Linked DNA regions of Ovis aries. The protein of the gene in region 2 binds, or shares a complex with, the protein of the main gene of each other region. Links are inferred from orthologs where the notes say so. Each region holds a gene or a part of one and is shown on either strand. Other genes may lie near its edges.

Evidence for each region.
Region 1: the proteins of AP1G1 (region 2) and AP1M1 are in contact, whole or in part, in a cryo-EM structure (PDB 7R4H), measured with the Mus musculus proteins. The link is inferred for Ovis aries from reciprocal best matches to the Homo sapiens genes AP1G1 and AP1M1. Residues at the interface, in NP_001288140.1 of Mus musculus: Arg24, Glu25, Gln28, Lys29, Ala32, Arg35, Ser36, Arg39, Glu40, His64, Phe65, Gln67, Leu68, Gln97, Val99; in NP_031482.1 of Mus musculus: Ser289, Asn318, Asp319, Ala320, Asp321, Ser322, Trp334, Pro336, Glu337, Asn338, Ser339, Gly361, Leu362, Pro363, Ser364, Val365, Glu366, Ala367, Glu368.
Region 3: the proteins of AP1G1 (region 2) and AP1S1 are in contact, whole or in part, in a crystal structure (PDB 1W63), measured with the Mus musculus proteins. The link is inferred for Ovis aries from reciprocal best matches to the Homo sapiens genes AP1G1 and AP1S1. Residues at the interface, in NP_001288140.1 of Mus musculus: Leu7, Arg8, Ile11, Arg12, Arg15, Leu54, Tyr55, His57, Met58, Gly60, Tyr61, Lys78, Phe79, Thr80, Arg83, Ile84, Leu87, Met90, Leu91, Asp94, Glu95, Thr115, Phe117, Leu123, Cys124, Gly127, Cys128, Tyr152, Lys155, Lys156; in NP_031483.1 of Mus musculus: Met1, Leu14, Arg15, Leu16, Gln17, Lys18, Trp19, Leu21, Ala22, Thr23, Asp25, Arg28, Lys29, Arg42, Lys45, Met46, Cys47, Ser48, Phe49, Glu51, Lys56, Gln74, Asp75, Asn76, Glu77, Leu78, Ile79, Leu81, Glu82, Leu83.

The regions. Positions count from the first base shown.
Region 1 is NC_056058.1:6,576,158-6,586,240, forward strand, and holds part of AP1M1 (AP-1 complex subunit mu-1), read right to left. Parts: intron 6,472-10,083; coding exon 6,345-6,471; intron 5,399-6,344; coding exon 5,256-5,398; intron 4,813-5,255; coding exon 4,741-4,812; intron 4,146-4,740; coding exon 3,987-4,145; intron 1-3,986. UniProt on the Homo sapiens protein: Subunit of clathrin-associated adaptor protein complex 1 that plays a role in protein sorting in the trans-Golgi network (TGN) and endosomes.
Region 2 is NC_056067.1:38,855,413-38,865,495, forward strand, and holds part of AP1G1 (AP-1 complex subunit gamma-1), read left to right. Parts: intron 1-2,083; coding exon 2,084-2,206; intron 2,207-2,378; coding exon 2,379-2,468; intron 2,469-2,760; coding exon 2,761-2,888; intron 2,889-3,708; coding exon 3,709-3,813; intron 3,814-4,440; coding exon 4,441-4,582; intron 4,583-4,766; coding exon 4,767-4,893; intron 4,894-9,591; coding exon 9,592-9,699; intron 9,700-9,819; coding exon 9,820-9,980; intron 9,981-10,083. UniProt on the Homo sapiens protein: Subunit of clathrin-associated adaptor protein complex 1 that plays a role in protein sorting in the late-Golgi/trans-Golgi network (TGN) and/or endosomes.
Region 3 is NC_056077.1:36,002,967-36,013,557, forward strand, and holds the start of AP1S1 (AP-1 complex subunit sigma-1A), read right to left. Parts: upstream 5,913-10,591; 5' UTR 5,877-5,912; coding exon 5,874-5,876; intron 5,745-5,873; exon of another isoform or gene 5,276-5,744; intron 3,800-5,275; coding exon 3,621-3,799; intron 2,794-3,620; coding exon 2,685-2,793; intron 1,449-2,684; coding exon 1,110-1,448; 3' UTR 76-1,109; coding exon of another isoform or gene 28-75; 3' UTR 1-27. UniProt on the Homo sapiens protein: Subunit of clathrin-associated adaptor protein complex 1 that plays a role in protein sorting in the late-Golgi/trans-Golgi network (TGN) and/or endosomes.

The DNA.
Region 1 (10,083 bases), on a different chromosome or scaffold from region 2:
GTGCAGTGGTAAAGAATCCACCTGCCAATGCAGGAGATGCTGGTTCGATCCCTGGGTCAGGAAGATCCCCTGGAGGAGGAAACGGCCACCCACTCCAGTATTCTTGCCTGGGAAATCCCATGGACAGGGGAGCTTGGCAGGCTACAGTCCACAGGGTAGCAAAGAATCGGACACGACTGAGCGACTGAACTCTCAGCCATGAGGGGTCAGGAGTCCTGGCCTGGTTGTCCCAGTGCCTGGTGAGTAACACAGAACTGCAGAGAGCAGTAGGAAATGCAGCTCTCATCACACCAGGACACGGAGGGTTTTGATCCTCAGGCCTTTGGAAACAGGAGTCACTGCTGACCAGGGCTGCCTCTGCACGGCCTCGGCAGAGCAGCGCAGAGCTCTGCCTCTCCAGTGCTGTGCTCACCCTCCCCTTTCAGGGATGAAGTGAGAGGTCAGGATCTGCTCATCAGTGCAGGCGTGTGGACTCTGCCTGACTTGGTGCTGTGTGCTCAGTGAAGATTCTGGGACAACAAGGGGAGAATAATGCAGCCTCAGCAATAGACAAAGCAGGGCTTCCCTGGTGGCTCAATGGTAAAGAGTCTGCTTGCCAACGCAGGAGACACAGAATCGATCCCTGATCTGGGAAGATCCCACAGGCTGTGGAGCAACTAAGCCCATGCTCCACAACTGAGGAACCTGTGCTGTGCAGCCTAGGAACCGCAGGTACTGAGCCCACGCACCCCAGAGCCTGTGCTCCATGGCGAGAGGAGCCGCTGCGTGGGGAGACCGAGCACAACTGGAGAGTGGGCCCCACTCCTGTTTACCGAAACCAGAGAGAAGTCCACGCTGCAGTGAAGACCAGCACAGCCCAGATTAATAAAATTATAGTCAAAACAGACAAACAGGCAGCAAAGGAAGAAAACCAGCTCCATCAGTGTTTGCATGAAACAGTAACCAGACCAAAACCCTAAGCTTCAGAAAAACCAAGTGGAAAATGAAAGCAAAAGAATGCGTAGAGGTAGGCCCTCCCCGGTGGGTGGCAGAAGTCTGCAAGCCTACCTTGTGTCAATCAGGTCCATGTAAATGGGTTTAATTTCCTCTATTAATGAGACTTGGAGACTGGCTCACAGACCAAAACCCAACTCTACACTGTAAAAGCAGAGTCAGAAAGATGAAACCAGTAGCGAGAAAGGGTGAAGGCATGCCGGCCAAAGTCAAACAAAGCAGAGCAGGGCTGCGCTTCCCTGCGGTCCCGTGGTTAAGAATCTGTCGACCAATGCAGGGGGCACAGATCTGATCCCTGTTGGGGAAGGTCTCACATGCCGCAAGGCAACTGAGCCCGTGTGCCACAACCACTGAGCCCACGTTCTACAGCCCGCGAGCTGCAACTCAACTACGGAGGCCTGTGCACCCGAGAGCCTGTGCTTTACAGGACAGAAGCCCCTGCAACGAGAAGCCTACGCACGGCAACTAGAGGGCAGCCTTCGCTCACCATAATTAGAGAAAGCCCATGCATAGCAATGAAGACCCAGTGCAACCAAAAATTTTTTAAAAAAAGATTTAAAAAAAAAAAAAAAAAAAAGAGCAGGACTGCTGCCACAGGGGAGAATTAAGGGCAAAGAATTCCAGGTGCAGAGGACAATTTTCACAGCCTGAAAGGCTGCTGTCCTACAAATCCACAGGGAAGACACAAGAGTTATGAGCATCTATGCACCAAGTGACACGGCAGCAACTTCTGTTAAGCAGGCGCTACGAGAGATGAAACAGGAACCAGAGGAGCCAGAGAAGGCAGAGCGACCCAGCTCCCTGTGTGGCTGATGCCGCCACGGCATCATAGCATGCTCGTGCCAAGGTCTCTACCCCAGTTACAGGGGCCTTATCTTCTCAAGTACATATGGGATATTCACAAACTTTGACCTTACATTACAAACAGTGAATACTTCAATAAAGCTTATAAGCAGAATAGCACAAGTAACCTTCTCTGACCTCAATGCACCAAACTCAAAGTGAAGATAAAATGGAAAAGAAAAGGCCCTTAGACCAGAAAAACAGAAAACAAACAAAACGAAAAAATACTCATTTGATTACAGAATTTCTAGATAATAGTATCAAATATTACGTGCCCGTTCTATGGGTTATATAGCTAAGGCAGGCTTCAGAAGAACATCTGTGGCTTAAATATTTATATCAATACAAATTTTAAAAGAAAATAATAAAAGTTTAAAAACTTGAAAGTCAGGACAAAGGATGAAGAAATTAAAGACTTATAAAACTGGAAAATATGACAAACAAACTAAAAAGTGAATCTGGAAAAAAAATAGACAAACCGCTAGGTAACCGTATCAAGGAAAAGAAGTAACAAAAATGCCAAACAAGGTATAACAAGGGAGAAGTCACTGTCGTAAGAGAAGGGGAAAAAGAGCCCCCTTTCTACAACTCTGTGCAGGCAGATTTGAAAACCTGGTTAGGATGGATAATTTTGTAGGAAAATACAAATTTACCCAAACTGACTCCAACAGAAATAGAAACTCGAAATGGCCTAATTTCCACAGATGAGTTAGAAAGAGTAACAGAGATACAGATGGCCACACACAGCCAAATCTATCAATCCTCTCAAGGCCAGATGATCTCAAGGCCACTTTAAAGCTGTTCTGCAGCGTGGAAGAGGGAGACAAAAAAAAACTATGAAACAGGTACAATATTGATACCTGTTGAGACAGAGGTACCAAAAAAAAAAGTCAGTCTCAGTCATGAATCTCAATGTAAAAATACTACGTACACTGTTAACCAACAGAGTTAATGGCTCATCAAAGAAGACATATCATGACCAACTGGAGCCTGCCAGAATGCAAGGATGGTTCAAGATCCATCCTGTGTTGATATCCGAACTGACAGACATTTAGCATTTGGCTAAATTTGTTGCTGTTTTATGCTAAAAACACAGCCAAGTAGAACTGGAATAAATTGCAGCCCAAAGCAGCAAGACACTGAAAAAGGGAAACCCTAGCAGTTCCGGCTGGAGGCAAAGCCAGGAGGTTGCTCTCCACCACCACTTACAGGCATGGAGACAGCAACAGAAGCAGAGAGATGCCAGGAGTCATAAGGTGCCCAAGAATAGGAGAGGAAAAAGGGTAACTGCAACTGCCGCAAACATATGAAAGAGTATCTAAGAACCCATGAGAACTGAAAAAAAAACTACCACAATCAAAAAGATTACAAAGCGAAAATACTCCAGAGGCGAGGCTGAAAGACAAACACCAAACTAAGGAAAACCATTTGCAACTGCTATCAAAGAAAAAGTACTCCCCTCGCCCACATGCAAACAGCTTTTGGAAACCAGCAAGAGAGTGACCACACTTGACAGAAAAGTGAGCAAAAGGACAGCTACTACAGCTTCCAGAGCAAGAAACACAAGCGGCCCCGAGACAAAGCGAAAAGGCGCTGCGTCTTTTCCCCACGAGGAATGTGCGGTCCGTGCAGCCTCGTTCCTGCCTTCCAGTCCCTGGGCACTCTGCCCACAAACCCAGACTCCAGTGCTCCAAACCCTGAACACCAGCCAGGTGCGTGGATTTTGTAAGAATTTCAACCCTGGATCAATCCAACTGCTCCTTTTTCCCACGCCAGCTTGTGGGTCGGGCAGCAGGCGCTCTATGTTCCTGGAGCCGGTGCTGCTCTGGCCCCAAGGCAGGCAGTCTGCACCCCTGGAGGCAAGCTGAGCTCCAAACAGGAGTGGCAGGCAGAGAGAGAAGGGCAGCAGGAGGGTGGGGCGGGGGCGCTGTGCTGACTCTGCACACACAGGAGGAAGCTGGAGCACCCCCACCCCACCCGGCCCTGTTCTCCACCCAGCCTCCCTTCTGAGCCTCCCCGCAGCCCCAGGCGGGGATCCCAGCCCCGGGCCTGAGGGGCCCACAGCGCTCAGGCTGCCACGCTGCCCGGGACCCAGGGAGCAGGCGGGTGGGGGTGGGGGTCTGGGGGCGCCCTGCCGAGAGGGTGCTCACCGGGAAGGACTTGATGGACCACACGATCTCACTGTTCTCGGGCACCCACTTGACGCTCCCCACTGTCGTCTTGAACTTGGGTGAGTCGGCATCGTTGGGCACAGGGATGTGGATTTCTACATTGTTGGCTGTTGATCGCCGCTTGAACTGGCTCTTGGCCTGGAGATGAGGCAGTGCCCCAAGGGTGCAGAGGGAGAAAGTGAGCCCAGCTCCCACCCAGCCTGCTCCCCAAGGGCCACAAACCCCTTAGCCTGGCCTGTGGGATTCCCCCAGCCTATCCTGCCCTCTGAGGTTTTCTTTAAGCTCAACTTTGGAAGGTCACCTGCCCGCCTGTCTCCTCAGCCTTTGGGGCTTCCCATCCTTCTCTGCGGTCCTGGCCTCTGGGGACAATGTCTGCATCACCCAGACTGGCCTGGGATGGATGAGGTCCCTGGTGGCCGAAGTGCGCCACCTGGACACTCAGCCACAGCCCGCTTCCACAGTGGCTGCACCTAGGGCCTGGGCGGTGTGTCCTGTGTCCCAGGCCCACTCTCGGCGAGCTCACAGGGAAACAACATGGATGACAGCCACAGGCTCAGCCCCGGGGAAGGGGGCACAAGAGCCCCAGTGTGCCCCCAGTCCTGCATTAGGACCCTGTGTCAAAGGCACTGGGCAGGCCAGAGAGTCCGGAAGGCCCGTGCCAGGCGGGGCCGGCCCTGTCCCCCTCTTATGCCCTGCACATCCGGCTGATGCTGCGTGCAGGACACACACGCACCTTGATCATGTACTCGATGCGGCTGTGGGAATGCTTTTCAATCACGGACTCGATCCAGATCAAGGGCTTGACCTGTAGGGGAGGTGGAACACGGCGTTCTCGCCTAGTCGTTTTACAAAGCTCCCTTTCACAGAGGGGAAATAGGGCAAGTGACCACTGCGCCTGGTGTGAGCCCAGCACCAGGGGCTCCCAGGAGAAGCCAAGCCGGTGCCAGGATGGGTCAGAACAAGAGAGAATGCAGAAAGCATCACAGAAGACACTCTGGGGTGCTGCTGGGGAAAGGGGGCCGTGGTGCCAAAGGGTCTGCCCCACCAAAGTTTGGAGGCTCGTGTTGACAAGCAGGCTCCTTGGAGCCCGGGCTGCCCCTGGGGCGCTGTGCCCATCCCACAGGTCACTTCACAGACCCGAGACTCCCCATGGAAGAGGCGGCTCCCACCCAGCAGGGAAAAGGGGTGCTGCCGGGGCGAGGCGGGGGTGGGAGCCTGGGGCCCAGGCGCTGGCGACTGCGCACTCACGTGTGTGTTGAGACGGTAGGACATGAGCTCGAACTCGCCGTCAGGCGGGATGAAGGAGATGGTGCGGTCGTTCTCAAAGCGCGAGAGCCGCACGCACTGGTGGAACTTCACGTCCTCCAGCTCCACGGACTTGCTTTTGCCACCTGCAGGGAGCGGGGAGGCGAGGGCGTGACAGGCAGACGCCAGGTCCCCCAGGCCACTCTCAGCAACGGTGCCCTGCTGTCTGGGGCCCACCCCTGCAGACCAGAGCTGCTTCCAAATCTGTGAGCGCGTCTTGGGCCCCGAACACCAGGGTGGCCTGCCTTTCTTCACCCCCAGGAAGCCCCATCACATCCCAGCAATGGGCTGAGGGCAGAGCTGGTGGGCCGGTTCACTCTGAGCCCCCAGCCTGGGGTGCTGCCTGGGACATGTTTGCTGAATGACGAACAGACCCCACTGGACGTGCTCAGGGATGATTCGGGGTCCCCTGAGGGCCCTGGGCCTGTCGTCCCTGGGATCCCATCTCAGTTTCTCAGCCCAGAGAGGCTGAGGGTCGAGCCCAGTCCTGGGAGGGGAGCTGTTCTGCTGGGTGGATGTCTGAGAGGCCCTCACGAGCACTACTGCTGATGTCACTATGACAACCTTCCTGTGGGTGGGAGGGGAGGCTGGAGGTCAAGCTTGGGAACACCAGAGCACCAGCAGCCCTGGGCTTCTGAGGCCACCCCGGCTGCCACACCATAAAATGTTAAACCCAGGCCAGGGAGGGTGAGCTCGAGCCACTGTGTGTGGTTTCTGCACAGCTCAGCCCCAATGCCAGGGGTGAGGACAGAAACTGGGCCCAGGAGGAGAGCGGCCCTGCAGTCCCTGAAGGAGGGCGGGGCTGAGGACCTTCTGTGTGACCATCGAGGTTCCCATCTGCACCTCTGGCCTGAGAGCCGACACGGGGACTGGACTGGAGGATTTTCACTCCCCCGTGTCCTCCAGGCCCAGGCGTTAGCTGACTAGTTTTCACCGTTGAAAACAACGCGACAATGTTTCTAAGGCAATATGCCTAAGGTGAACGTGTTGACCACTCAGGTGGACGCTCCTGGGCCCGGGCAGGGTACTCACGGCCCGTGTTGTCGAAGAGGACCTTGTCGTTGAGGCCCAGGCGCAGCTCGGGCATGCCGGACAGGAAGACGCGCATCTTGATGGAGCCTACGATCTCACTGCGCAGGACGTTCCCGTTGGCACTGACCTGGGGGTTGGGGGGCCCGGGGGTGAGGGGAGGCCCCGCGCCCACGGCCACTGTCCCCCACCACACTGTGTGACCCTCCCGGCCTCTCCCACTCTCCCTTCTCTCTGTGCCCTGAGCTGAGGAGGCAGTGTCAGGGCAGACCCCGAAGGCAGATACCCACGGGCCCCGCCCTCTGGGTCTCAGGCCACAGCAGGCTCCTCCCACTTGGATGGGCCAGCTGATGCTGGCGCCTGCAATCCCTCTGAGGGCTGACCCCTCTGAGGTGCCCCTAGAATGCCCAGGGCAGACCTGGTGGCTGGAGGCTGTGTGCTTGGCTGGCCTGGGCAGGGATTCTATCAGGGTCTGCTCATCCACTGGGCTCTGTGAGGTTTTCTCGGAGCAGGGTGGACTCACTTTCCGGAAATCTATTTCTTCATGTGAGGCCAGGTGAGGCTACTTTATGCTCTAGGTGAGCCTAGGGCTGGTTGAAGATGGAGCTGCCTGGGTGCTGCTCCCAGGGCTGCTCTGAGGGCTGATGCAAAGTAACAATTACACTTAAGCAAATACAATCCCAGCTCTAACACTGCCTGGGCAGTTCCTGCTTGACTGGGCAGGGCTGTGACTTGGGCGACTTTTAACTCCTGTGCAGACTGGAAGGCATCTGAGGGTGCAACTGAGTATCACAGCACATAGGAAACAGCCTTGTGGACACAGTCGGGGAAAGAAAGTGTGGGGTGAATGAAGACGGCACACAAAAGGGAAACATACACCACCGTATGTAACACAGACAGCTGGTGGGAATTTGCTGCATGACGCAGCGAGCACAGCCCAGTGCTCTGTGACAACCTAGAGGCGTGGGATGGGGAGGGCGGTGGGAAGGAGGCTCGAGAGGGAGGGGACAGATGAATTCCTATGGCTGATCCACAGGTATGCACATGTATGGCAGAAACCATCACAATATTGTAAATCAATTATCCTTCAGTTAAAAATACATGCATTTTTATAAATAAATAAAGTAAAAATCACAGCAGGATGATGGGGAAACCCGGGGGCTGTCTTGAGGGAGCTGGGCTGCTGCAGCACGTCTCCACGGCCCCATTTTAGAGATGAGGACACTGAGGCACGGAGCAGCTGGCAGAGGTTCTGGGGCTGCAGCCTGGCCCACCACCCCACAGTGCCATTCTGTGAGGATGCCCATCCACACCGGCAAGCAAAACAAACTCAGAGACCTGAGCCTACGGGCCACTCTTTGGAGGCCCGGACTTCCTGATTTCTGTGGAGAAGCAGGAAAATCTGTCCAATCTTTAACTCAAATATCTGGAAGTGCCGTGGGCAGGCATGGAAGACCTTCACCTCTGAGGGAAGTGACTCAGAAAAAGGCACAAAACAGCACGGAAGGCCCTTCCACCTCCCGTCACTCACCATGCTCTGACCTCGCTGGCCTCTCGCTGACCTTGATTCAGCAGGCAGCGTGTGACCTGACCCCCATCTGCCTGCCCATCCACCTCCATCCACACTCTGGTGAGGGGTCGGGTCGGGCTGCTCACTGCGGGGTCCAGCATGAGGATGGTGCCTGGGGCAGCACGTACTCGTGAGTCCATGCAGACACGGCCCCTCGCCCCTGAGCTCTGGGCAGCTGGCATGCCCACTGCCTTACTCTGCGGGTTCTCAGTGCCCTTAGTTCTCCTCCTCTGGGGGGCTATCTTCCCTGGGGGAGGGGGGCTGGGCAGCCCTCTAGAGCTGAACAATGGCAAAGGAGGCTTGGGAAGTGGAGATAAAAGCCACGCAGCCTTTAAGGCCAATGCTGGAGGAGGCCCACAGCCGGTGCCGTCCCAGGGCAGGCGTGGAGATGAGTGTCAGCAATACGGCTGCTAATTATACCCGTAGAACCAGATTTTCAGAATCTGGAGGCCAGTGTTGATTTTGGAGGCCGCCAGCTCTGCAGTCAGACTCAGGAAGGCGTGCTCTATCCTGCCTGGGACGTCCACACTGCCTCGTGCTGCCTCTTGTATGAGAGGACAGGGCTCCCTGGACAGCGCCATGTGTGCGGACACAGGGGCCGGGGCAGCCCTGAGCTCCCAGCGCTCTCCTGGGCAGCTGCTTACAACTACTCCTGGGATTTGCCTCTCCACCTCAGGACACCCAAGAACATGTCTGGGCTCAGTAAACAATCCAGATGAAGGTCCTCAGACAGGAGGGGAGCACAGGGAGCCACAGTCACCTCATGGCTTAGAAAATAAGATGGCAGATACATTTACATTCAGTCCACTGGAAGAATTTTTTAGAAAGTGCTCTCATTCAGAAATTCCATGCCTGGGCACTCAGCCCAACAGAGATCCTGCCCAGGCAAGGGAGATGCCCCAACACCCAGGAGGATGAGCGATCATGCTCGTTTCTGCACTGGCTGGAACAGCCAAAAACGGGCAACCCAAGGAGCCCATGTGATGGGTTTGGCCCTGGTCTGCCCAGGTACTGGGAGTGAGGTCTTCTGTGTGGAGGCAGGCAGGCTGCAGGTATGTGATGGGTTTGGCCCTGGTCTGCCCAGGTACTGGGAGTGAGGTCTTCTGTGTGGAGGCAGGCAGGCTGCAGGTGAGATGGAACTGGTTCCCATCGCCTGTTCTCTGACACTGACCACAGCTATAAAATCTGGGCAGGGGGCTTCCCTGATGGTTCCGTGGTAGAGAAGCCACCTGCCAATGCAGGAGACGCGGGTCGGACCCTTGATCTAGGAAGATCCCACGCAACTAAGCCCATGCGCCACAACTGCCGAGCCAGTGCTCTGGAGCCTGGGACCGCGACTGCTGAAGCCCACGCACCCTGGAGCCTGAGCCCCACGACGAGAAGCCACTGCAGCAAGACGCCTGTGCGCTGCAACTGGAGAAAAGCCCAAGCACTAACAAAGACACAGCACGTGAATTAATTCAATAAAGTCAGCAACAACAAAGAACCCGGGCAGAATGCATGGGCAACTACTGGGAGACCAAAAAGGTGGATCCAGAAGAGCTGGCCGAATGAGCAGTGTCTCCCACCCGCCACAGTGTGAGATGCAGCAGAAGCCTGGAAGTGGAAGTGAGCAGTGGGGTGTAGCCAGAGCTTGCAGAAGCCTCTAGTTCTGACTTCAGGGCCAGAAGGGGAACTCCTGCTGCTCGGAAGGAATACGGAAATCCCCCGTTTCTCCCTCTTTTCAGTTTTCTCACGGCTGTCTGTGGCCCAGGCAACTGAGCTGCTTTTCCAGGGGTGGGGGTGGTAAACCTAGGATTCCAGCCCCAGTGCAGACCAGCACAAGAGTGGGGATCTAGAGCCCTAAGTTTTTGTCTACAGATCCAAAAAAGGAAGCCCCAGGCAGCCAGAGAGCACAGGTATACAGCAGACAGTGAAAGGTTCAGGAAAGCAACCTCAGGAAGTTGTTTATGTCTCCAGACCTCTCTAGAACCAGGTGTGCACAGACAAGATCCTACGGCCAAAGGCCTTGAGAACCAAACTGTTCCCAGGCCCGATGAAATGCTGGGCACTGCATATTTGGAACAGATGCAAATAGCAAAGGGCACAGAGGCTTTGAAAACTGAACTGATACTCATGGCTCATAGACTCGGGGTTGAAACTTATGGCCTGAACCTAACCAGGTCAATTGTC
Region 2 (10,083 bases):
AGATTCTCAAAAATACAATATTAAGAAAAAAGTCACAAAAATTATATACATACATGAATTTTGCTTTCAAAATAGGGTTTTTTGCAAGGTAATAGTAGGTTATAAAAATGAAAATTAAAGGAGTAATGGGGGACTTAGACATGAAAAAAATTTTTGTTTTAATTTAAAAAATGATAAGAGTAAAAATATATCTAGGACTTTCTCTGGAGCTGTTGCAGACAGGGTGGGGTCAGTTCATTTTCAGATAGTTCCTTGTTCCAGCTTGTACTTCTCAAGGTCTATAGGCCCCTTCCTATGTAGTCGGTGCTAACTACAGGGTTTTAATCTATTGCACCTGTCACTTCCAAAGCGGTTCCCTCTGTTTATTTTAGCTTCTTCTGTTTGCTGGTCTCTTCAGTGTCTAATTTCCACCCCGACACAAGGAGGGCTGTGGTGGTCACTTTTTTTAGTCTCACTTGTTCAGTCGTGTTGTGGGGAGGGAGGAACACTGCAAACAAATATCACTGGCGTGTGCTCACAGTAATTCAGCCACACTGGGTTTGTCCCTGCTCACGGCGTGTTGCTTTCCCAGTCTACCCTGTTCAGGCTCTAAGTTGCTCTGCCGGGAACTGTCTGATGCTGGCCCTGGGTTGTATGCACTCCCCAGGTCTAAGCCACTCAGGTTCAGGTTTTTGGGCACTCCTCAAAGACACCAGACTTGGTTGGGCCTGTGTTTTATGCCCGTCCCAGGTCCAAGCAGCTCAGGTGACCAGGTGCTTGGCGAGCACGTTGCCCCCAGTTGAAGGCTGTGACTTATTGCCTCCCCTGTTCCAGCTGCTTGGTTTTCTGGGTGTACAACGGGTGTGCCTTCTCAGGTGTGCCATGTGTCTCTTCTGGGGAGCTGATCTCTCGCTGTGACCCTCCTGGTGGATGTCGATCATCCAGAATCTCAAGAAGTCTTGGTTAGCAAGGAAGTCTGCTTGCAGTTTGGTATAGGATGCCCCTCTGGGGCCGTGCTTGCTCCCTTCCAGCTCTGGCTTCCCTCGCCTGCCTGTCTCCTGAGGGGGATGGGCCGGTTCTCAGCCTGCTAGCTCTGCTCAGTCCTTTGTTTTGTGAGTGGGCCTGGAGGTGTCTTAGGTTAGGGATTTTCTCGGGATAGCTATCCCACAGTCTGGGTTGCTTTCTCAAGCTAGTTCCCTCAGATTGCCTCAGGGCATTCAGGCCTGGTCCTTACCCTAAGCAATACAGCCTGTTCCTCCCTGCCCCTCCCCCCCCCACCCCCCACCCCCCCACTTGCTAGTGGGGGATGCGAGCATCTGGGCTGCTGCTCTGTTGGGAGTTGCTGTTAGGCACATAATCTGTAGGTTTTAATTATTTATTTATTTTTCCTCCCGGTTATTTTGCCCTCCGAGATTCCAAGGCCCGCCACAGACCTGCCAGAGAGAGTATTTCCCGGTGTTTAGAAACCTGTCTCTTTTTTAAGACTCCCTTCCTGGGATAGATCCCCGTCCCTACCTCTTTTGTCTCTCTTTTTATCTTTTATATTTTGTCCTACTTCCTTTTGAAGACAATGGGCTGCCTTTCTGGGTGCCTGATGTCCTCTGCCAGCATTCAGAAGTTGTTTTGTGGAGTTTGCTTGGTGTTAAAATGTTCTTTCGGTGAATTTGTGGGAGAGAAAGTGGTCTCCCCGTCCTATTCCTCTGCCATCTTAGGACTGCCTCATTTGTACGCTTTTAACACCCGTGTTGAGGAGTTGTGGGGAGGAAGAGGTTGTTGTAATTAAGTTCCCAGTGAATGTATTTCTTACATCTTTGCGTTAGTAAACATTCTGAGTAGAAAGGGCCTTTCTTGAAATTCTGAGCCTTTATATTTTAATTTTACTTTGGACAAAGAGAAGATTTTATCTTTTTATAAAACCTTAGAACTTAGAATATTCATTTAAATAAGACTTTGAAATTTGAGCTGCTTCTGAACATGAGAATTGGAAACAACTTTATCTTGGAGGGTGTTTTGTAGTTGTCTCCTCTGAGCAACAACAGCACTAGCTGACTTTTCTTAACATTACTGTGTGTTTCTTGGGGTAACTGTCTACATTTCCTTTTAGGCAGGAAGCTATGTTCGTGATGATGCAGTTCCCAACTTGATCCAGTTAATAACCAATAGCGTGGAGATGCATGCCTATACTGTCCAGCGCTTGTACAAAGCAATTCTTGGTGATTATTCTCAGGTAAGTACTTTTACTTTAGGGGGGAAATTGCCATTATTTTTCTGATATGTTCTTATTACTGTCACTCTAGAGGTGCCTCAGTTGTGACCTTTATGGTTGGATGACCTATATGATTTGTATTAATCCTTTAAAGGATAAAAATCTTTTTCAAACTGTGACTCTCTTTTGACAGCAACCTTTGGTGCAAGTGGCTGCATGGTGTATAGGTGAATATGGAGATCTTCTTGTATCTGGCCAATGTGAAGAGGAAGAGCCTATTCAGGTACCCTTTGTCACTCTTGGTTAAGAAAAGGGAAGACAGTGTTTTTGTTTTAAGAGTAGTGTTTAATGCTTTGAAGTCGATTCCTTGAAAACCTTTTAAAGACGCAAGGGTGGAATCATAGATTCATTGGAAAGCTTGCTCAGTTTTCAGTTGGAACCTACTGGGCCATTGTGAGATTTGAAACTCACCTTTAGGTCCCTCTCCCCACCCCATCATAGTGACTTACATTGTTTCTCTTACCTTCTGGCTGAGGAGAAGTGAGAGTGTCATGTTTCCATTTTTTTCTCCCCAGGTAACAGAGGATGAAGTGTTGGATATTTTAGAAAGTGTCCTAATATCTAATATGTCCACCTCTGTGACACGAGGTTATGCCCTCACTGCTATTATGAAGCTTTCTACTCGATTCACCTGTACTGTAAAGTGAGTATGGAGAAAAAGGGTGAATGCGATATATTTTTTAAAAACTTTTATTTTGGGAAACTTCAAGCAAAGGCAAAAGTAGAATAGTAAAATCAACTGCCTATACCTCTTACTCCTCAGTAACAGTCATCACTTCATGGTTAATCCTTATTAGATCTATACTTTGCTCCCTGTCATCCCTTCATCCCACCACTGCTTAATTTGAAGGTAAAAACTAATGTTTTTAAAATCAGGTATCTGATGTCTGTTTATTTTTTTAAAGTACTGAAGTTATTTTCCCATGTAAAGGTTCTGGTTTATTATAATTTGAGATATCTGAATTGGAAGAAAATCATTTTGGTGTTTAAATCTTTAAATTTTGCTTTTTTAAAAAAAGCCACTGTTTTGAATAGAACTCAATTCTTGGGTCAGTTTCCCAGTCAAGCATATTTAATATAAACTTAGTTCTCTCAGATGTTTTGCTTTTGTTTTTAATGTAAAGCCTCATGAAGAATGATATTTTTTACTGTTTAAATTGTGAAGTATAAGAATTTGGTATTAGGCAGTGACACTTTGCTTATAAAAGTCTGATGCTATGACCCTTTTGTTGATAAAAGCTTACTACTGTAAAGTTATTAAAGAAGGGAATGAATACTATAAATTTGTTATTTTATAGCAAATTAATAATTGGTACTTTTGTTTATCAAATTTTAGGGTATGAGATATTAAGATGAACATTTCAAAATTTTAACCAGAAACCTCTGTTTTAAACACTGTTCTTTCTGCTTGTTTATGAATTTTCTTTTGGATGTTTGAATTTGTTTGTCGTTTTATCCCAAAGCCGAATTAAGAAAGTGGTTTCCATCTATGGAAGCAGCATTGATGTGGAACTCCAGCAGAGGGCAGTAGAATATAATGCACTTTTTAAGAAATACGACCATATGAGGTAAGTGAAAGAAACCGAACAATGCATGTGCCTCTTAGCATCCCAAACACTTTCTCATGATAACCCGTAAAGGAGTTTCACCCCTCATGCTTTATTGGTGGGACATCACAACCCCGTTCAGTTCTTGCGGCTTGGCTACTTGTGTTTTGTTCGTCTTCTGTTCTGCCTAGCCTCTAAAGAAATAAGTGAACCGTGTTCTTTTAGTCCCCTTTTCCCCTTTCTCTTGGTAAGGAAAGTTTTCTTCATTTCCATTTTATTTGGTGAAGAAGTGAGAGTTGTTTCATCTCAGGAGAATCTCATTGAGATATCATTACTATTACCATTGTGAACTGCTAATATGTACTTGTTTATCTTTCTTTCATTCCAATTTCTCTGTCACTTATAATTCTCAGGCTCTTGGGATTTAGATGGACAGTTTGTCCATTCAAGGTTTCCTGCCTGCCCTTAATCCAGTCAGGAATGTAGGTCACGTATTCTTGTAATCCAGCTTCTATTTTAGTATATGTGTTGGGATGTGGGGAGGGGAGAGGTCTCTCCACATTTGGCTGGAGTACAGTTAACAGTGATTGTTTTGGGTAGGGAATCTAGGTTAACTGCCTAGAATTTAACCACTTCAGATTCTTCCAGGTCTGCCCTTCTTGAGAGAATGCCTGTCATGGAGAAAGTGACCACAAATGGCCCTACTGAGATTGTACAGACAAACGGAGAGACAGACCCAACTCCTCTAGAGACAAAGCCACCGCCCTCGGGGCCACAGCCCACCAGCCAGGTAGCTTTTCCCTTGCTTATCCTCATGATCTTCTGGTTCCTTAGACCCTATTTCTTAGGTGATTCCCTTCAGTGTTCCTGGGTTGATTGATAATTCTGTTCCCTGTTTTTAAGTATTGAAGGGGCTTTGTGTTAGATAACAGATTAGACAGTGACAATGAATAAGATATTATTTTCTTGTTTAGGCCAATGATTTATTGGATTTGTTGGGAGGAAATGACATAACACCTGTTATTCCAACTGCACCTACAAGCAAACCAGCTTCTGCTGGTGGAGAGCTTCTTGATTTGCTGGGAGACATCAACCTTACAGGTGAGGCCAGACTAGAGTTAATTTCATGCTTGGCCAGGGATAAGGGCCTTAGGGAAAAACTACACTGAATGTAGACTTTCTGTCTAGCACATGAGACAGTTGAAGAATGGAGAGGGTAAGTGACAAAAAACAAGAATCTTCACAACTTCTGGCCTATGTTGCCATACTAATACTCTAGAGGTAATTCATAGAGATTCCTCAAAGTCTAATTTTTAATTTTTGGAGAGTAAATTACTCAGTGTTTTAAGACAGAACAGTCTCAGGCTAGAAAAGAAGCACATCCCAAGAAATACATGACTTTTTCTAGGTTTCTTTCTACTCATGGTTAGTTTCCAAGAGCTGTGGCCTTCTGTGGAGAGTGGAAAGATGTTAACCTGTTTTCCTCTTTCCTTCTCGCCCTTTCTTTCTCCTTCGTGTTAAAGCAATGGAAGGATAAAATTATCCAGGGTTATAATATTCAAACATAACTTTTCATTTGGGGATATCTTATTTTTATTGACATGTAGTAGAAATTTATAATTAGTGTGTCTGCAGATACTGTAAACACAAGAGGTCAAGAGAATATCACTGTAGCATATAATTTCTATCTTAAGTGACTTCTCTAAAAGTAAAATGGAGAGTTACAGCATACATGACCTTGAGTGGAAAACGGCCATAGGTTAAGGATGTTGGATGCTAATCTAGACAGGCTATCACAGACTTAAAGGTTTTTTCCTAACATAACTGCCTCCCAGAACTTATGGTTTATATTTATGTCTTAACAAAATTTCAAAATATTGCTTGTCATTGCTTAGGGCCATTCACAGTCAGTTTCAGATCCCGGGATGCCAAAGCTGTCCTGAACATACGGAAAAACAGGAACAACCCCATTTGAAACATAGTGTTTGGGGACCTTCCTGGCAGTCCAGTGGTTAGGACTCTTGTGCTTTCACTGCCATGTGCCCAGGTTCAGTCCCTGGTCAGGGAACTAGGATCTCACTGGCTGTGTGGTGAGGCCAAATGAAAAACCAGAACACAGTGTATAGATGATATGCTTTACTTATTAACATATTAGCATTTCCATGTTAGTGTATAATCTTCACAATTATAATTTTGGATGGTTGTCTACTATTTGCTAAGTTTAACCATTATTTATTCAGTTCCTTACTATTGGGCATTTTGCTTGTTTCCAGATTTTTCTTAACTGATGCCTCAGTAAATATTGTTATTACATAAATTTGCCCAAATTTATTTTGGGTTTACATTCTTAGGCTCAGTTAAGTTAGGCTTACTCTTTCTGAATCTGTTTAAAATAAAAATGATTCTTACACATCATAGGGTATTTGTGAGGAATAGTGACAGTGCATGCATGACACATAGTAGGCACTTGGTAAATGTTACTTACCTTTTCCTCAATGTCTATGAATTTCACTGTTAGTCATAAATAAAAAAGCCCTAACAGTGATTGACCCTCTCGTCTTATTTTTATTTTTTCAGTCTAGGGAATGTTTTATATTTGTCCATATTTGTATTATATGTGAATTTCCATTTTGCACATTCCTTTTGTCTCCTTTAACTCATTTATTCTGGAGCCTTAATGTTTTATTTTTGTTCTTTCTTTTTTTTCTAGTGTTAACAAGAAAAAGCAAAATAATGAAGTCTAGCTTTTTTTCCTTATTCATAATGTATTTTACTTTTTTAATTTATTTTTTAATTAGACGAACATTGCTTTACAGTGTTGTGTTGGTTTCTGCCATGCAACAACATGCATCAGCCATAATTATACATACATCCCCTTCCTCTTGTGCTCCCCTCCCCTCACCCTATCCCACTGCTCTAGGTCATCACAGAGCACAAAGCTGGGCTCCCTGTATTACATAGCAGCTTCCCACCAGCCATGTATTTTACACGTGATAAAGCGCATATGTTGAGGCTACTTTCTTCATCTGTCCCACCCTCTCCTTCCCATACTGTGTGCCCAGGTCCATTCTCTACATCTTCATCTCCATTCCTTCCCCGCAAGTGGGTTCATCAGTACCATTTTTCTAGATTCCATATATATGCGTTAATGTAAGATATTTGTTTTTCTGACTTATTTCACTCTGTATAACATAATGTGTTTTAAATGCAATTCCCCATTTTCTTTACAATTTTAAGTAAAGTTTTGAATTCTAGATTCTTTAAGCCATCATCACAGTCAAATCCTCATGCACCATCATTTAAATGAGTATAAATTAGAAAATAAATTTAGTATGTGCTTTTAGAAAAACTTGAGCTCTGAGTTTCTGTTGTTTTTCAGAACTACCTATTGTACCATTATAGGAGGAAAAAAAGCTACAATTTGAAGGACTAGGGACCCATATGTTGCCTCTGTGTCTTGGGTAGCCTATGATTTTCCATGGAAAGATGTTTCTAAAATTGTTTTGAAAATGGAAATTGTGGGAAAATTACTAGATTAGTTTTATAGAAACTAGGATAGCTATCTGAATATTGTTTATATTCTTCATTGGTAATCTGACTGCACATCCTGTGGTGTCTTCATTTGTTTTAGGTCCTTGTGCTTTGCTTGGTCATATGTATTTCTCCCTTACTTGCTAATTTTTACTATATGATTTTTTTTTCCTAGTGTACTTGGGTATTTTTTTAAAAGCTAATTCAACCTTTATTTTATTTTGTGATTTTTAAAATGGTGTAGTTTCAGCTAATTTCATAAAGTAGTTTGAAACCAACTTAAGCATAAAATGCATTCTGTTTCTTTTGGTGAATTTTCTTATGCTTCTTCTTAGAATCTTGATTTCTGTCAGTTCATGGTCATGTTCTATCATTTGCCCTCCATAACTTGTTCTTATTTGGAAGGATCAAATAAAAATAATAGACTGACGATTTTGTTTCCCCACTTCACACCACCTTTCCCAGGATGTGTGTGTGTGTTAATGTAATACTCTGCAATATTTAATATATGTAAAATTCAATAAATAAGTCTTGTCTTGATCTTCTTAGCTTGGAAAATAAAATGTTGCTAAGATTGTTGACATTCCCTGTGTACTACCTCCTTTTCTCATTCCCTCTTGATCCCAGAGGTAACTACTGTCTATCCTAAAATAGTGTTAGCTTTGGTGTTTACCATTCCTGTGTATTTTTGGAATGTTACAGTGTGTAGTATTATTTTGGCTTTTTAGAACTGGTGTCCAATCGAATGTGTACTTTTATACCTTGCTCTTTTGCTGTACATTGAATTTGTGAATAATCTATGTTAAGTGTATTTCTAATGGATTCACATTTTTATTGCTGTATGTGTTTAGTATTTTGGGCTTTCATGGTAGCTTGGCAGTAAAGAATCTGTCTCTCGGTGTAGGAGATATGGTGATACAGTTTCGATCCGTGGGTCGGGAGGATCCCCTGGTGAAGGAAATGGCAACACACTCCAGTATTCTTGCCTGGGAAATCCCATGGACAGAGCAGCCTGGTGGGCTACAGTCCATGGGGTTGCAAAGAGTTGGACATGACTTAATGACTAAAAAACAACAGACAATGAATAGTATTTTATTTTGTCAGTGTACCACAATTTATTTACCCATTATTTTGATAGTGAACATTTTGATTATTTCTAGAATTTCATTGTTAGAAGTTATTTTGCCCTGCACACTTTTTGTATATGTCTCCCTGTGTAAATATGCAAGAATTAAAGCATTCCTAAAAAAGGCAGTGGGTCTCAGTTGGGGGAGATTTTGCCCACCAGGTATTGGCAATGTCTGAAGATACTTTTTGGGTGTCAGACTGAGAGGATGCCAGTGGTGCTGAATCCTACAGCGCAAAAGACAGCCCCTCACAGCAAAGTCTTATCCAGCCTGAAATTTTGTTAGTTTTGCAGTTGAGGACCTTTAGTTTAAGGGTATACTTGTATTCAGCTCTGATGTTGTTTAGTTGCCAAGCTGTGTCTCACTCTTTGGCAACCCCATGGACAATAGCCCTGCTAGGCTGCTCTGTTCATAGTATTTCTCAGGCAAGAAGACTGAAGTGAATTGTCATTTCCTTCTCCAGGGCATCTCCCTGACCCAGGGATCCAACCCACATTCCCTGTGTTGCAGGAGGATTCTTTACCACTGATCCACCAGGAAAGCCTGTATTCAACTCTGCTACTGCCAAATTGTTCTCCAGTTCACAGCCCTGTGGCAGAGATTAGAATTCCCCATTGCTCCATAGTCTTAACCAGTATCTGGTGTTATCAGACACTGAAGTATTCACCATGCTGGGGGGATGTGAAGTAGCACCTCATCGTGGTTTTAAATTCCATTTCCCTCATTACTCGTAAACTTGAGCATCTCTTTTCATAATATTTCCTTTTCATTCATGTTTCTTCTGTGAATTGCTTGTACGTATCTCTTTTTTCTTTTTTGCTTGTACATTTGTCTTACTACTTTAAATTGGGTTATCTTTATTGACTTGTAGAAGATATTTATAGTTTTGGATACTCATCCATTTGTTATTTTGTAGCATACACTTTCTTCTGCCTTTGGTCCATTTTTTGGTGGTATTTTTTAGTGAACAGAAGTTACTCATTTTAAAGTATTTGAAATTTTTAATTCTTTATGGTTCATGCTTTTTGCAGATTGTTTAAGGCTTCCTTCCCTTAATTTGAGATCGTGGTAATTTTCTTATGTGTTCTCTTGGTGGGATTTGTCAGCTAAGATTGACTTAACTGTGGGATGTGCCATTTAGGTGCTCCAGCTGCTGCTCCTGCCCCTGCCTCAGTCCCACAGATATCCCAGCCCCCCTTCTTGTTGGATGGGCTTTCATCACAGCCTCTCTTCAATGACATTGCTACAGGTACCGTTACTGGTGTTATCATCATTAGACCTATGAGAAGTAGTTGTTGAAGAAAGGAGGTAGTGATTTGGCAAGCCTTAGGCTGACTGCAACTTGACTGATCTTCCTGTGTTCTCCCAGGCATCCCCTCCATCACAGCGTACAGTAAGAATGGCTTGAAGATTGAATTCACCTTTGAACGGTCAAATACCAACCCTAGTGTCACAGTGATCACGATACAGGCCTCCAACAGCACAGAGCTGGACATGACGGACTTTGTTTTCCAGGCTGCAGTACCAAAGGTACTATAATTGTCGTCTTGGCCTTTATCCTTGAATTAAAAATTGCTGATTATTTTTTTATGTGTTTGGTAAGGGATATATTTTAGTGCCTAGAGATTAAATT
Region 3 (10,591 bases), on a different chromosome or scaffold from region 2:
CATCTCCACTCGGCCCCAGGGCGAGGGCTATGCCAGACCCATCTCCTCCAGCACACTGCGTGGCGACTCATCCTCCTAAGGCAGAGACAGAGGGTGGTGGGGAGACACCAGGAGAGACGGGGTGAGGTTGAGGGGGGTGGGTGGGCAGCAATCACGAGGGCAGACCGGGGCAGGGGGGCGGACACAGAGACACAGGGGAGAGGGGAGAGAGAAGCCCAAGTAAGCCCAAGGCTGGAAAGGCCGGGGACCCTTCAGGGGAGCTGCCCAGCCTCCTGAGGCCTCCTTGTAGAGCCAACTGAGGCAACCAAACCGAGTCCACCACCACCCAGAGAACCCAAAGCCGGGAGCTCGTTGAGCAGGGGGCTCGACCTTATTAGCTGAAGGGAAGGGAGTAAAATGGGGGCTTGGGAGCTGGGAAACCTGCTTTCCCAGGGCTGGAGGTGGCAGATGGTTGGGTGGGACCTTTTTGTTTTTTCCCTCCAGAGTCGAGGGAGGCAGTAAGAAGTTGGCGTCAGGTCCCCGAGGAAAGTGGACCAGACTGCAGAGAGATGAGTCATAAGGGTCTGAGCAGAGCACTAGTAACAGGGTGGGTGTGCGAGTGCCAGGGCACATGTGTGTGTGTGTGTGTGTGTGTGTGTGTGTGTGTGTGTGTCTGTGTGTGTCTGTGTGAGATGGGGGACTAGACCAGTGAGGTAGCAAGTCAGATTCTACCCTCTCTCCGGCTGCACGGATGAGCACCCCCTCTCCCCCTCCTCAGAGCCGGCTCAGGCCGGCTTGCTCATCACTGCAGGTTCCGGTGACTCATCTCCTTGCACCAAGGCTCAGCAGCGGCACAGCAGAGAGGGGGCAGGCAGCAACGGGGTGAGGGCGGGGGTGTCGGACAGAAGGGAGGACCAACGACCAGGTGCCCTCCACCCAAACCCTGAAATCCCCAGGGCAAAACTCTGCTTCTCAGCAGCAGAGGCTTTGGGTATGTGTGTGTGTTTTTAAAAAAGGGAAGACACCAGGGAAGAAAAAGAATGACCTATTGTGTGCCCCTTCTCCAATTCTCCGGGCAACCCTAAACACCAAGAGAAGCATGGGACAAAAGCGGGCTGTCTGGCCCCCAACTACCTCCTACCCTGAGCAGTCAGGGCTTGAGGCCCAGCTGGCCAACCTGGCAGCGTGGGGGCCAAACGCCACAGGGAAGGGGGGCCGTTTCGGTAGCGGCGGGAAGAGGGCAGCTGGGGTCCACAGGTGAAGGGTCCAGGGTAGGGAGGGTGCCCTCGGCCACGGTCCTCTTCCTCCTCCTCACTGTCCCGGACCCGTACCTCCTGCAGTAGGTCCGCCTGCTCGATGGCCTTCAGCACACTCTTCTTGGAAGTGTCCTGGACGTCTCCCCCCATCAGAAACTCATCCAAGATGAAGTAGGCCTTCTCAAAGTTGAAGATGATGTCCAGCTCGCAAACCTGGGGGGCGGGGGAGGAGGCAGAGGTGAGGGTCAAGGTGCGTTCTCCCCCCTCGCCTGCGCCCCAGCCTCCCCAGCTCTTTCCCCACCTTGGCTCCGTGGCCTTCATGACCACTCTCCACCTTGGGTTCTTGCCCCAGGTCTATGTCCTCCTGACCCCTAGGCTTTCATCCTGGGTTCAGCTTTTCCTTCTCCTTTTCTCTTCCTCTGTGATCATGAGATATTAGTTGCTCAAGTCTACCCTTGACCCTGACTCTTGTTGCCTTCTCCCCTAAATCTATGACACAAATCCTACCAGAGGTTGGGTCGGCCTCCCCACCCATCCCCACCCCACTCCCTGCACCCCAAGGTGCTGTGACAGGGCAGGGAAGGAGACTCTGGGTCACAGAGTAAACGGCTTCAATTCTAGGCCACACTCTGACACTAACCAGCTAACTCTTGTTTTAGTCGCTAAGTCGTGTCCGACTCTTTTGTGACCTCATATACTGCAGCCTGCCAGGCTCCTCTGTCCATGCAACTTCCCAGGCAAGAATACTGGAGTGGGTTGCCATTTCTTTCTCCAGGGGATCTTTCCAACCCAGAGAACGAACCCACGTCTATTGCACTGGCAGGCGGATTCTTTATCACCAAGCCAGGAAAGCCTGGAAGGAAACCAGCTAACTCGACATGCCATTTAACTTCTCTTGAGTCCGTTTTCTCTTCCAAAAATGGAGACACCAACACCTACTCATGGAATGAGAAGCAAACAGGAGAACCTGAAAGCTCTTTGTAAACTGTTAAGTGAAACACAAGTTATGGTTATTACTATTCCCCATCTAAGATATGAGCTCACTGCCAGTGCCCAGGCTGTAGCCCAGATCAGTTCATTCAGAATCTCTGGGGGTGATTCCCAGGCATCGCTATTGTTTAAAAAAAACTATCCAGAAGTCTCCAAAGCAAAGTCAAGGTTAGGAACCACTGATACTATCTGAACATGACCTCTGTCTTTGTGTGGGAAGTTTGAGCTGAGCTGTAGATGGATTGATTAAGTGGCAGATTCTGGTTCCCACCCTTCTCCCATGGGGGCCTGATTAAGACGCATGGCTAATAGGCTTAAGGCTTAAAGAGGGAGATTAATTACTGTTCTCACTGTTCCAACTTCCCCTTTCCTGAGTCAGAACAGAGACTGGAAGGGTCCGAGTCTGGTAGAAAAAGAGGATTGCTGAGCGCGGAAACTGGGGTGGGTGGAGAGACTTACGCTGCCAAAGTATTTGTCCAGGAGCTCCACGTATCGGTGGATCAGCTCCAGCGTGATGAGCTCATTGTCTTGGCCCTCGATGGCACAGCAGAAGTAGAGGCTGGCGTATCTGAGGACGGGGACACCGGAGGGATGGATGGCTGGGTGTGCTGCCGGGGCTGCTTCGGGACCCAGGCATTCTGTGCCCCAACCTCCCATTTCCCCCATTCCTGATCTGTGTCCTTACTGGACACAGGCGGGGTGGCTCCAGGGTAAGAAAACGTCACTCACTGTGTCTCTTAGTGCCTCTCATAAACACAGGCAAAGAAACAAGCTCTTTCCCTCTGACCCATTCAGTTTGACTCAGCAAAAACCTGAGCCAACAAATTCACCTGCTCAGAGGAGGAACCACAAATGGTTTGTGTGTCTGGGGGTGTGTGTATTGGGAAAGTGGCCCAGGGTCTACAACTGTTCAGTGAGGCTGCAATGGATGTGTGCAATCAGTAAGATCGGGCCTTTGGGACAGAGGTAGGTGCGTGAAGTAGGTACCAGGCTTGAGCAAAACCAAGAAGGAACAAGTCTCTCTTCAAGGTGAATTTGGAAAGTAAAGGCTGGCTGGAGTTCATCACTGCCTTCCAGATGTCCTTAGCTCTCAGCTCTCCCAGACCTAGTTAGTTAGTGTTAGCCACTCTTTGGACTGTAGCTTGCCAGGCTCCTCTTTCCATGGGATTCTCCAGGAAAGAATACTGGGGCGGATAAGTATTCCCTTCTCCCGCGGATCTCCCCAACCTAGGGATAGAACCCAGGTCTCCTGCATTGCAGGCAGATTCTTTACCGTCTGAGCCACCAGGAAACCTCTGCCAGACTAAGGGACTGCCTATTTCCCAGCCAGGTGAACCCATTCCAGACCCCAATCAGGCAGGATCCAGGCAGGTCTGAAAGTAGGTGAGGAGTCACCTCTTGTAGACAACTTTGAGGTCCCTCCACTCCAGGAAGCTGCACATCTTGGGCTTGCGAGCCAGAACCACCTGCATAAGCTCCCGAACCATCTTCTTCCGCTCCTTGTCTGAGGTGGCCAGGTACCATTTTTGCAGCCGCAGCTTCCCCTGCCGGCTGAACAGCAGCATGAATCGCATCTGGGGGTGGGGGGTAGGGAGAGGAAGGAGGAGTCAGAGCCGAGGTTTAGAGCTTTGATTCTCTGAGCTTGTTTCCTCCAAAACCACACAGTCCCAAACTCCTCCCATTCAACTCTTTTCTCCTCACAGACCCTACTTTCTTCAAAACATCAGCCCTTCTGGTCAACTGGGTATTTCCATTAGCAAGCACCTTCCTTGGAGGGGGTGTCAGCGCTTCTGAGTCTGTCCTGTGGGTTCGAATCCTGGCTCTACTAGTTGAGAAATTTGCCCTGGGCGTTACTTCATTTCTCTGGGCTTCAGTTCCCCTGTGTGTCAGGTGGAAATAATAAAAGTACCTACCTTACAGAGCTGTTAGGTGGAACCGACATAGGAAATCGCGCCTGGCACGAAGTAAGCACTATAACACCTTGGATGTCATTATTATTATGTCCTGACTTACTGTTTCCTAAACCTGGTTTCCAAAGGTGGGTAAAATGCTAGCACAGTGACGAGCAGCCCCTAAGTTGATGGCAAGGAGAAGTTTGCTTTCTTTCCCGCTTTCTATCCACCACCATCCTAAAATCAGGTATTTTCTTTCCCCAAGAAGCTACTTCAGCCCTCTGCCCCATCCTAGCCATACACCCTAGCCAATGTCCCCAACATACTGCCCTCCATTCCTATGCCCAGCGGTATCCTTTATGTTAGCACATGATACCAAGTGAAGTCGCTCAGTCGTGTCTGACTCTTTGCGACCCTATGGACACCAGGCTCCTCCGTCCATGGGATTTTCTAGGCAAGAGTACTGGAGTGGGTTGCCATTTCCTTCTCCAGGGAATCTTCCTGACCCAGGGATCGAACCCAGGTTTCCTGCATTGTAGACAGACACTTTACCGTCTGAGTTACCAGGGAAGTCCATAACATGACACCAGGACCCCCTAGATTCCACCACCCTCCACTCTACTCAGCCATCCAGGCATATAGCCAGAGGTATTCCTTTTTTCTTCCTTTTAGGGTGCCTCCCTAGCATGCCCACACCTCCCCAGATATCAGGTGATCAATTTCCCTTTCAGTTCTTCAGTTTGGACCCAGCCATTCTGGGCGGCTCGCCTAGTGAATGTTCCTGGAACAAGCACAAGGAGGTGGAGCGGGGAGACGTGCAGAGCTCTCACTCTCACTACCCCGTGCACCCCCAGTTTCCCATTTCCAGGGGGGTAGGGGCTCCAGGCCACATCCTGGAGTGATCTCCCTCCCCTTGTAGCTCGTCTCTCCGTGTATGCCACCAGGGCTGGAGTCCTGGGTGTGTGGAACACTACTAGTCTAGACGGCTACAGATCGGAATTCAAGAGAACTGTATTTTCTGCTATCGGGGAAAGGGAAGCGCTGCTAGCGTGGCCGGAGGGCAAAAGAGTGGTGCAAGGGAGCCTAGGATGGGAGGGTGGGCCAGGGAGCAGGAAGACGGAAGGCCTGCGTTCCGGAAAGAGGATAGGGTAGAGGGGCGGAGAGCCAAGAGCCCCGGAGCCGGGAAGCCAAAGCCTGGGTCCCAGAGAGCAAAACTCGAGCCCACCTGGCTTCCCCCACCTCATCCCCGCCTCCAGGTGGGCAGGACGACAAACCGAGGCAGGACGTCTATTCCTCGCACCCCGAACGATCCCCTCCCACACACCGCCCTCCCCGCCTGCCGCCGCTCCACTCTGGGCTGCACGTGGACGGAGGGTCTCGGAGACAGGCGACCCCTGCCGCCTCCGTCAGCCAGCAGGCCCCAGACCCCGTTCCTCGCGCGAGTTCCCTGCGGCAGTGATCCGGACCCCTGAGATCGCGACCCGTGCGCTCCCCCTGGCTCCGGACGGTCCCGCCGCCCCCTAGTCACCTCCCTCTGGCCCTACAAATGCGCCCACTCCCCGCCGCTTCTCCCGAAAGCGATTTCCAGCTGCTCTTCCTTCCGAGGCCGGCTCGCCCACCCGCCCAGGTAAGTGAGGGCCTCTGAGAACTGGAGGAGGGAAAAGAGCGGCTCACACAGAGGGCAGCCCCCAAGGACCCCTGCAGGTGCAGCCCACGCCCCTCGGTCCCCCCTCCCCTCCCTCTTCGCAGAGCCTACCATCCTGCAGCCTCCAGCCCTGCGCGTCCCTCTTCGGCCACCGTAGGCGCCAGCTCCACTCCCTTTCTTACCCTTTCGCCTCCTTCCCTCCCTCTCGCTTGAAGCCCCGCCCCGTCCGCCAGGGTGCCGGGAACCAATACGCTGCGTACTGCGCAGGCGCCGACGCTGCGAGGCGCGCGGGCGGGGCCGGAGGCGGAGAAGCGGTGGCCATGGCAACCAGGTCTTTGACTTCAGCTTTGAGTAGCCCTGTCGTCATGGTAACAAGGCTGTCTTGTGGACTGGTTAGAAGATGGGGGAGGAGGACAATGAGGTCTTCGCGCTTTGGAACCTAGGGGGAAAAAGGCGGGAAAAGGGGTGAGAGGTGGATGAGATGACCCCTGGAGTTTGTGAGGAAGTAGGGTAATTTAATGGAAGGGGTGTGGGCGATTGAGAGGGAGCAGGGTGGAAGCCATCTGTAGAGGAGGAATGACGAGGAAGGCAAAGACAAAGGGTGGTGGTGGGGCAGGTATGAGAAAAGTATGGAGCTCAAAACAGATATCTACTGAGAACCTGCTGGACGCAACAACACTCAAAGTAAGAGAAGGGTGTAGGTAATGAGGCAGACAAGAAATAAGGGAAGAGGAGAAGCTGATAGAAAAGTGAGGTAAGGAAGAGGACAAACATGATCAAGGGGAAAGAAAGAGGAAGAAATAAAGAAAATCTTGAAAAGTTAGCATGGGTCAAAGCTAAAAAGGGACGGTGTGACCCAGACACGAATGTAAAGATGAGACGGAGGTAAATTGCAATACATGTGTTTTGAGAGGGATTTGCAAGTGTGAGTGTGTGTGTCCACATGCCAAAGCACTTTGCATATAAATGGATGAGAGGAAATCTTAAATTTTGTCATGCCAAAAGCTTAATGGTATATTTCTAGACATTTGTTGGTAACTAATGATGCTATTATTTTTGAGTAGCACTTGAAGCAATTATTGGTAAGGCCTTACCTGTCTCTGCTTTGTATTCTTTTCTTCTTACTCTTTTATGGAGGTCATATGCTTTAATTGCAAGAGGGTGGGCTTAATTCACCTGCAATGCAATCTGGTCTCTGACCCTTACCTGATGTGCAGTCTCGGGTGGGTCTTTTAAACCTCCATTTCCTCATTTAAAAAATGAAGATAGTAATACCAACCTTGCAGGTCTGATTTGAGGCTGGATAGAAAGTATCTGAAACATTGTCAACAGTTGATATTGCAATATCAGTAGTAATTACTGATAACAGTAGTAATTACTACTATTTGCTTTTCCCAACTTCTTTCTTCCAGTACTTTTTCTTCATCCTTTCTTTTTCATGTCCTTTTCTCTGCCTATGTCATAGGCTTGCCAATGGCATAGATGTTGGCTGAACTATCTTGATGTTATTTTTTTAGATCAGAAATAATATCAATAAGGTAAGCTGTTAGAGTTAGAAAGGGTACTCTGTTACAGAGTGAAAAGAAGGAATGAGAGTGTGTAAGAAGGACAGAAGGCAAAATAATAAAATGTACTCGTGGGGAAGAGGAGAAGATTGTTTATAAAGAAGTAATGAGCAGTGAGGCAAAGAAGAGATCTAGGCAACAGCCCAAAAAAGTGCGGAAGATCCAGAGATGTAAGCTCCTACACTCCTTGAAAAGATGGCATTTTCTAGAATTCCTTATCTCAACATGCTGTGCCTAGCTGCAAAGAAGATAAGATTCATGAGAGAATTGTTAGAAATATGGGTTTTGCTCATGTAGAATCACAGACCTAAGTGGTTTAAACTAGCTAGAAGATGGTGGATTACGTTTCTTCATTGTTAGTGAATGATATACATAGATAATCTATGAGTTAGTGGCTCCAATAAACTTGTATCTGCAGGTAAGTTTGGATTTGATGCAGTGGGAAGTTGGGAGTCATTATGATTGTCTAAGCTGGTGAATAACTTGGTGGAAAACATTTTCAGAAGGTTAATCTTATAGTAATATGGGAACGATTTGAAAGAACAAATGGAAGGCTGCAAGATCATCTGGGACAGGGGTGCCCAGCCTCCAGGATCTAATGCCTGATAACTTAAGGGGGAGCTGATGTAATAATAATTGAAATAAAGTGCACAGTAATTGTAATGTGCGTGAATCATCCTGAAACCTCCTCTAGCCATCCATGGAAAATTTATCTTCCATGAAACCAGCCCCTGGTGCCCAAAAGGTTGGGGACCACCAGTCTAGGAGACAGTTTTGGGAATCTAGACACAAAGATGAAATGAAAAGTGAAAATGAAAGTCACTTAGTCATGTCTGACTCTTTGGGACCCCATGGTCTATACAGTCTATGGAATTCTCCAGGCCAGAATACTTTCCCTTCTCCAGGGGATCTTCCCATCCCAGGGTTTGAGCCCAGGTCTCCCACATTGCAGATGGATTTTTACCAGCTGAGCCTCAAGAGAAGCCCGAGAATACTGGAGTGGGCAGCCTATCCCTTCTCCAGCAGATCTTCCCAACCCAGGAATTGAGAACCGGGGTCTCCTTTACCAACTGAGCAATGAGGGAAGCCCTTGGAGCTGGACAAACTTGAGAGATACCTGTAATGCACCAATCAATTGAAGCTGCGAACTCATCTAAATAGAAGAGGAAGAAGAATCAAAGATGAGTCTGAAGGATTAGTGAGTGGTGCCTTTTGTATAAATGGAAAAATAGAAGAGGTGAGATTCTCCTTCATAGGTACGATTGGTGTTTGTATTGTTATCTGGCAAAGCCCATGCTGTCCCCTCCCTGAGCCTTCCCTCCTCTGGTTGTAGAAGTAGTTCCTGCAGTGGGTGGAAGGGGGGTCCAGATGGCCCCTGAAGCCTTTCATTTCTGAGTCTGTGATCTGTCTCCCTCTTATGATGATGCGCCCTGCAACCATTTTTGGCTCGTTCTGTAAGTAGTCATTGTTCTCTGATGATGTCATTTGGAGTCATCTCTGGGTTTTTTTTTAACTTCTTCTTTTTTTAACTAAGCAATTGGGACCTTATTGTATGCTGTTCCTAAGAGTCCTGAATACTTTGTGTGGTAGATGTTTGCCATTCTTTTTCACTTCCCTGCCTCTAAACCCCCTTCCTAGGGTTTGGGAATCCTCACATTATGATGCCCGGGGGAAATAGCACAACCTTGCAGTGTAGCATTTGAATTTGCTTTTTGTGCCCACAGCATGAGCCTGTCTGCTGGACTCGGCCAGTCCATCCACCAACCTGGAGGTTGATCCAGGAGGGAATGAGGTGGGGATGGGATAATGAGGACAGGTAAGGGTCCTGAATACTTTGAATTCTGAATTCAAAGTATTGAATTTGAATTCTGAAGGGTCCTGAATACCTCTGAATTCTGGCAGAGGGTCAAAACCTAGGGCGCAGGTGGAGTGGCACCAATGGCAGCGTCCTGTGCACCAATGGCGGCAAGGGGTACCATGTAGGCATCCCATGATTTGTGATTTGGGCCACTGTCTCTAGCATGAGACCTTCTGCTGGTTCTCTGGCCCTCCTGACAATTCCTTGAGCTCCCCAGTTTCCTTTCGTGTTTCATTTAGCCAGAGTTGGTTTCAATCCCCAGTAACTCAGGACTCTTGATTGGTCAACTTGGTAATCAGGTTGTACCGTCCGGTGACCACACATGTGAGTTGGCCCCACCTGTTCAGCTGGTTTGGAAGCGCCTCGTGGGATGGTGTCTTACTCATCTTTTGCTTCTTTACAGCACCTCTCACAGTGCTTGTTGATTGACTTCGGTTATGATTGGTGTGCATGGTTTCCTCATCTAGATTTTTTTTTATTTTAATTTATTCATTTATTGTTGTCTATGCTGGAGCTTTCTCTAGTTGTGGTACGCATTGCAGTGCCTTCTCGTGTTGCGGCCCTCAGGCTTCCGTAGTTGTGGCTCAGAGACTCTAGGGCTCGTGCTCAGTAATTTCGGTGCGCAGGCTGTTGTCTCGAAGCACATGGGATCTTCCCAGATCAGGGATCTAACCTGAGTCCCCTGCATTGGCAGCTGGTGGACTCTTAGCTACCAGCCCACTAGGGAAGTCCTAGATATTTACATCTTACTTCTCACCCCAAATATGCTAAATTCTAATTTCTAAATAGTAGTACCTATCTAATATCTATTATCTATTATTCCTGCTGGAGGACAGGCTGTCTTCATTGTGTTTTTCTTGTAAAAATAGTTTGACTGCACCAGGTCTTTGTTATGGCAGGCAGTATTTTTAGTTGCGGCAGGTGAGATCTAGTTCTTAACCTGAGGCGGAACCTCGGTTCCACTCCATGCATTAGGAGTATGGAGTCTTAGCCACTGGACCAGCAGGCTTCATTTCCTGTTTCTCCTGTGCTGAGCACAGGGCCTGGCACACAGCAGGTGCCACCATTGGTTGAATAAACGTACTGGATTCCCCCACTGGAAAGTTCCATTGTCATCTCAAGAATGAGTACCTTCCTTCTCCCTTCCCCTGAAACCATCCCATCTCTTGGTTTCCCAGCTACCTTTTTCTCAGTTTGCAGACTCTAAGCCTTGGACATGAAGGGTAACAAAAAGCATGGCTGTTCAAAGGACAAAGATCAGACTGCTTGGTTAGACTAAGAGAATGTGTATGGGAAAAGGGGAATCTACTAGCTAGGTTATCAGAGGAGGGAGTCTGAAAACCACCCTGGTGACTTGAGACTCGAGGCTTCATTCTCAGGTGACTTGAACCTGCCTTGCTATTTAT